Linked DNA regions of Ovis aries. The protein of the gene in region 1 purifies or fractionates together with the protein of each later gene. This does not show direct contact. Links are inferred from orthologs where the notes say so. Each region holds a gene or a part of one and is shown in the gene's direction. Other genes may lie near its edges.

What was found. Proteins that work in one complex are often made in the same cells at the same time.
Region 2: the proteins of YWHAE (region 1) and PRKCI purify together in Homo sapiens (affinity purification with mass spectrometry; 4 studies listed by BioGRID and IntAct, with this or other methods). This does not show direct contact. The link is inferred for Ovis aries from reciprocal best matches to the Homo sapiens genes YWHAE and PRKCI.

What each region holds. Positions count from the first base shown.
Region 1 is NC_056064.1:22,410,794-22,414,445, reverse strand, and holds part of YWHAE (14-3-3 protein epsilon), read left to right. Parts: intron 1-1,328; coding exon 1,329-1,554; 3' UTR 1,555-3,652. UniProt on the Homo sapiens protein: Adapter protein implicated in the regulation of a large spectrum of both general and specialized signaling pathways. Binds to a large number of partners, usually by recognition of a phosphoserine or phosphothreonine motif.
Region 2 is NC_056054.1:217,782,954-217,786,605, reverse strand, and holds part of PRKCI (protein kinase C iota type), read left to right. Parts: intron 1-660; coding exon 661-786; intron 787-2,150; coding exon 2,151-2,230; intron 2,231-3,652.

The sequences.
Region 1 (3,652 bases):
TCCTTCTGCACTGCAGGCAGATTCTTTACCACTAAGCCACCAGGGAAGCCCGCCAGTTTCCTTTGTCCATGGGATTCTCCAGGCAAGAGTCCTGGAGTGGGTAGACATTAAATACACCCGCAATATCGTCTGTTGCATCTATTTCTAAAACTTATTTATCACCTGAAACAAATTTGCCACTAAACAATAACACTATATCCACCTCTGTCTGATTTTCTGATAATCTCTTTCTGTCTATGAATTTGCCCATTTTAGATAAATCATACAATAGGAGTACGCATTACAAAGTAACTTCGGTGTTCTTGGGTATGTAGGAATCAGATATTCCCTGAAAGAGATTTTTCAGCTGTCAGGTGGATTCTTTTGAATGAAAAATCAATATTAATTCATCTAAAAACTTTCTAGATGGCTAGTTGAGTGAGTCCAAGCAGGTAATGTATCTTAACTGAAGAAGCTATGGCTGTTCAGGGATAGTATTGGTTGACTCTTTGATTGCCATTCTCTAGTCTAGCCGTTGAACGCACAGCTTCAACCTAAGTCCTTTCCGTGCTTCTGCTTTAATGTGAAGTATGCCATTTGTGCTCTTTCTACCCATTAAGATTGTTCAAGTATGACTTCCTAATTTGCTTACCCTCTTGGGTCCCTGAAGTACTTTTCTAGGTTGGCACTTCATTTTTATGTTATAGTAGCTATTTATGTCACTCCCTCTATTTTAGGTGTTTTTAAAAAGTTCATTGTGGACTCATATGTCTCTTTGCTCTTTTTCCTACCTGTTCCCAGCATCACTTGATGTACATAGTACACAGTACTCAAAAAGTAAAGGTGAATTTTGTTTCTTAACTGTAGTAAATGGCTTATATGATCTCATTTTTGTGGGGTTTTTTTCTTTCTTGCTGTGTTAACCTTAAATTTTATTGGATTAAATAGTGAGATACTGTCCCAGAATTTTTTCTTTTTGCATTAAAACTGTATTAAATAAAGTTAAAGTGACTAGAATTTGGAAATACCTTTCACATGCATATATTTTGATGGTGGCTTGGATGGGATTGGGTCTGCTTGTCAGAAGCATAGTAATAAGTGGAACTCCAACAAGTTTCACTAGTTGCACAGTTGCTGGATTACAAAATTTAAAAAGGAGTTTCATTAGTAACACCTGTTTTCAGTGCCTAAAGCATTGCAGTGCCAAGCATTCAGTGTCTAATAGTGTCTAGTAGTGATAACTAAAGAAATGACTGAGATTTAACTATGTCATTTCTAGAATCTGTTTTTGGACTTGTTTAGTTTATTTCAGACTTTTTTTTCATGATACATTATGTGAATTCTTGTAGGTTGGCAAAAGCAGCTTTTGATGATGCAATTGCAGAACTGGACACGCTGAGTGAAGAAAGCTATAAGGACTCTACACTTATCATGCAGTTGTTACGTGATAATCTGACACTATGGACTTCAGACATGCAGGGTGATGGTAAGGAGACTGAAGTTAAAATGTGTCTCTTTCAGTTGTTGGATCTATTTACTCATAGAAAATTGGGATTTCTTTACATTATGCTATAACTTAGACTCAGCCTACCCTCCAAACTATCAAATTTTAATTATTACCTTTACAGGAAATGGTATCAAAGTACAGCCTTACATTTTGGTCTGTAAGATAATAATGTAAAAGGCCTGTTTTGTTAATAATCAAAGATTTAAAGATTTACCTGTCATAACATGGGCTAAACTTAGTTTTCTGTTCTGTCAGTTTTGAAAGATGGAGAGGAAGCAGTTCATATTACCATTCCTCAGATTCAATTTTAGGGATCTAAGGTTAATTATATTTTACTGTTGTTGTCACTGTTTTGGCTGAGTGGCAATCCTCATTTTAAAACTTAGATGGTTATAAGTAGATATTTATGGTATCTTTTCTGTGTGAAAATCTTTTATCTAAAAAAAGACTAATTTCCCTCTGTATTCTGTACAACAGATGAAACACCCTGCTCATATAGATCCTTATTTAAGAGATCTGATATAGTCTCTTTGTTTTCTAGAAGTTGCAGTTGTAAATAGTTACTAGAGCATTTTATAAAATTTAATCTTGTGGTTAGGAGTAGGGTAGGTGCTTAATGATTATTCCAGATATCTGTAAGGGACCAAATTTGTCACATTTCTTGATTTTAAAGAATATTTTATTCTACTCATTTCTAAAGAATTGTTTTTACCCATGATAGATCATTGAAAGGGTGGGGGAACTGCACGGGGAGATGGACACAAACTAGTGTGACATGATAATTATAAGAGTGTTTGTAACTGGCTCTGGTGATACAGGGAGTGGAAACAACATTTGCCATTTTTAGTTACAGATCCTTTAAAAGTGTATTACCCAAACTGAAGCATGTTTTGTATTCCTTGAGGCTAGATGTAATTTCTCTTGGTCAGACCAACATATATTGTATTTGGAAACATAACTTTTTAAAGATGTCTCTGAAAATGGATGTCAGGGAAATGTAGATTGGCACTGAAAGGACAGTCAGATTTTAGAATTATCTTATCTTACGGTCAGTGAGAGTTAGGGGGGACTGCTGCATGCAGTAGCTCTGTGAACCATTTAGAACTTGACTAGCTTTGGATTGAGATTTGTGGTGCATGTGACTTACTTGCGCACTTCACCAACAAAGCCAGATGGAGTCACAGGTTACTTTTCGTCAGCACAGCACTGCAGGCAACCACTATCTGTGGGACTCAAAACCAACTAAACCATCTCTGAACTAATGACTGGGGTTCCTTCCAGCTTTAAATTCTATTGTATTCTAACAATAACTACTAAGAAGAATGGCCAGATAGCTGTGGACTCTTCATAGTCACCCCCAGCTCAGAGAAGACTAATATCTCTCTGCCTGTTTGAGGGGATAAAAGGAAAAAGCATGTGGAGAGTTTGGTAAGCGGTATTGACCTAAAGTAAGCTATACCTCTTTGATCTCTCGGGATATTTTTTGAGGGTGAAAAATACCACCAACAACAAAGGTGATTTTGAAAAGTGGGTGGTTTTTTTGGACACATTATTTGGTACAGATGTCACCTTCTATAAAGTTGCTAGATTCCAAAAATAAAAAAAAATAGTCTGATTTTCTGTTACCACTCATAACCAAGAATCGATTAAGGTAGATTGTGATTCCATTTATACAGAATCAAAGATACTCTTTTTCTTGGTTATCAAGCATGTTTTATTAAATGGATTATTTAAAAATAAAATATCTTTAAATTTACTATGTTTTCATAGTTGGGAATGTTCTTTGTACAAAATGTTTAATTACACTTTAGGGTAGATTTCTCTTTAATCTTAAACACTTAAACTAGTGAAATTCAGTTGCATCAATTCCTTATGGTTTCATAGATTGACCAATTAATTAAATTTCATTGAGACAGATAATTTTCCTTTTAAGAGGTGTGTTACAAAATATTTGGAATTAGGAAACATAGTTTATCTTGAAAAATTCAAGTGGTCTGTTGAAATCTTAGCAAAATAAACAAGCTGTCTGAAATTACAAATTGTTGACACTAGAAAATTATTTGCCAGTTTTGCTAAAAGGTGTAAGGTATTACATGTTAAGTTGGTTTTGTGATTTAGAATCAATGCTGAATGAGAAGAATTTGGGTTATGAAGTTAGGATGTTAC
Region 2 (3,652 bases), on another chromosome or scaffold:
GAATCATAAACTTCTGTAAGATTGTTCAGATTTCCTGGGGTATTTCCCCCAGGAATCTGAAAGATGGAGGAAAGATTCCCTGCTTTCAAAAACCAGAAGTTGTGTTTATCTTAAAAAAACATTTGCCCCTTTGGGTTCTGGCCCTTTGATTTCAGCAGTTGTAAGGGAGGATGGCTATTTCTGATAGCTGCTTATAATCTGGTTCCAAAGTCCTTTCAGGATCTTTAATCAGGTAGCAGAAGATCAAGTTTCACATCTAGCAAGGTTATTTCAAATACAATTTAATTATGTCCTCAAAACAAAGTATTAGAGGCAGGCTGTTGAGTCTATAATTACAAACATATTTGGTGGGACAAACTGTGCAGGATAATTGTATAACTTGGCATAGACATATTAGTCTCTGCAGCTTAGTGTAACCAACGGGAAGAGAAACTTGTGTTTCATTTTCTATATTTTAAAGTTATCGTTTAGTTACCTCCCTTCTTTGATAAGTGAAATGTTCTTGTAATCCTCGATGCCTGCCATGATCATTATAATGTATTTCAAGTTTACTTTTTCATTATGTCTATTTTTTTAATTATGTAATAAAATTAATCTCAAATTACTGACATTTTAGAATGTGGAATGGATAATTTATTGCTTTAAAATTTCATTTTGAAGGTTTCAGTGTCGACTGGTGGGCTCTTGGAGTACTAATGTTTGAGATGATGGCAGGAAGGTCTCCATTTGATATTGTTGGGAGCTCCGATAACCCTGATCAAAACACAGAGGATTATCTTTTTCAAGGTAATTTGCAGTATTTTACAGAGTCTCTGTGAATAACCCATCCTAAGGCATGAATGAAGACAGCTATAGTTATTACTTTCTAGTAAGAAAGAGGAAGAATAATCTGGACAGTATACCCCTGAACACATGAGGCTCTGAGTTTGTTTTTGTTGTTTTGATCTATCATTACTACTGCTTAGTTTTTGGTCCCATTTGCCAGTTGCCTGCTCATACTCAGAAACAGCAACGAGGTGACTTCAGATTGTACATCACAGAGATTGGAGGAAGGAACTGTGTGGCTGGAGAGGGCAGTCGTTTCACCTGTGCTACAATGCTGAGTGCATAAATCCAAGAGCAGTAATAGGAAAAGGCAGAGTTTAAGGAGATAAAAAGGGTCAAAAGGTGAAGGAAATACAAAGAACTGAACAGAACAGAAACAAGCAGACAAGCACAAGGACCCCAAACACACCGTCCAGAGAAGTGTAAAAATTGCCATAAAATTCTACATTTAATGACTAAGGCCATCACAGAAAATGAATAGATATTTCATGTAATAGGAAATCTAGCTTGCTGTGAAAACCTCGAAAGACTTTAAACCTCCTTAATTAGGGGTGTGCACATTAAAAATTAATGGGCTTCCATCTCATACTTACACATTTGGCAAAAATTTTAAAGTCTGACAACACCAGTACTAGTAAGGGTTAATAACAGTGCTGGTGAGGATATGAAGCAACTGGAACTCTGGTGGATGGAGTGAAAACTGACATGACAACTTTGGAAAATAATTTGGCAAAGTCTAATACAATTGAATATAGTAATGCATGCCACACATTTTACAGATACTAATCTGTTTAAGCCTTATAACCCTCCTATGAGGGCTTCCTTGGTGGCTCAGTGGTAAAGAATCTGCCTGCCGATGCAGGAGATGCAGGTTCCATCCCTGGGTCAGGAAGACCCCCTGGAGGAGGGCATGGCAACCCACTCCAGTATTCTTGCCTGAATAATCCCATGGACAGAGGAGCCTGGCTGCAGTCTATGGGGATTCAAAAGAGTCGGACACGACTTAGCAACTGAATAGAAAACAACAGCAACACCCCTATGAATCAGGTATTCTTTTTATTCCAGTTTTACAGATAAGGCAACAGACACAGTAAGGTAGTCAAAGAATAAAACCTACGCATGTAGTGATCAAAACTGTTCAGAGTAGAGGCTGTCTGAGTAGGAAGGAAAGGTCTGGGACTGGAAAGGTACACAAGATGCTTAGATAGTGTTTGTAATGTCTATTTTTTCCTGCAGGAATGCCTTAAATATCTTATAATAAAAATATAAAGATGAAACCCCTGTAAAAGTTAATTATAATAATGCTGTATATTTTATCTTCCTAGTTATTTTGGAAAAACAAATTCGCATACCGCGTTCTTTATCTGTAAAAGCTGCAAGTGTTCTGAAGAGCTTCCTCAACAAGGTATAAATTGTACATAAAATCGTTAGTGATTTCTCTCTATACAAATGGCACTGGTAAGGAGAGTTTCAGGCGACATAAAATTCCAAAACATCAAAGTGTATAATTTTTCCATTAGATCTGGAACTTGTCTCTTCACCAAAGGGTACCTTGACAGAATGAGACCCTGAGATGTGTGGTCCTTTCCATTCTGCCAGTATAGTTTACCCCTAGCTTTATATTACATATGGTATTTGTTTTGTTTATTTTTTGGCTGTGCTGGGTCTTCACTGCGGTGCATGGACTCTTGTCTGATTGTGGCACTCAGAGCTGCTCTTGTTATAGAGCATAGGCTCCAGAGTGTGTGGGCTCATACGTGTGGTGTTTTTAATGTAAACAAAAAATACCATGTGCTCAATTAGAGAAAAACGGCATCTTTGGGGATAGCCTCAATTGCACCTCCATCTCTATTTTTTCAGTTTCCTTTAGATTATTATTATAGAATGTTTTAACTTATTCAGTCCTTGGTGCAGCAGTGTTCCCTGTAAATTCTCTTATCACAACCCTATAATTAGATAATATTCAGAAAAAATAAAATGCTGAAGTGCTGTCTCTTTAAAAAATCTGAACAGCATTCTGTCATTGTTTGTTGCAGTTGATAGGCTAGAAGATTTGTTTTTTAATATCTTTATTTTATTTGCTTGCACTGGGTCTTAATTATAGCATGTAGGCTCTTAGTTCCCTGACCAGGGATTGAACCCAGGACCCCTCCATTGGGAGCACAGAGTCTTAGCCACTGGACCAGTGGGGAAGTCCCTAGAAAAGTTTTAGGATCTAAAATTACAACTCTGAATTATTCTTATTCATAACACTCTAACACCAAATATGTAGGTTTCTTTCCACACCACCAACAAGTTTTCCATCCTCTTACTTTAAAAATCTCATTTATAAATAAATGGTAGGTTAGAAAGTAGGTTGATGTGCGTTTATTTTCTGAGATAAATAAGATAATGAGTTTTAATAAAATAAGAAATTCAAGCTTGTTGTAAATGAGTTTTATGTGAGGAAGGATTCAAACTGGAAACCTTACCTTTAACGCAGTGAAAAATGAAGCTGAGAAGCGTCAGTATGCAAAGCAGAATGCCTTTTGCCACAGAGGAAAATGGGAACATGTTCTCATTCACGATAGTTGTATAATTTGCAGGCTGCTTCTCAGTCCAGTGATTCAGATAATGGTTGTATCGTTATTGTACACAAATTACGGTGGTTGCTATAACTGGACACAGGGCTTTTAAACTGAGCTAGAAACAAACTGGTGAAGTTCGGGGGTTTGTGTGTTTTGAGTATCACTCCAGCCCGTGTCAAAGAAAGAGTTGGATGCTGCCCAAATAATTCTGCTGCTGTCTGTCTTCTTCCCACTTTTCTTTAGCAAGGTGTGGTGACATC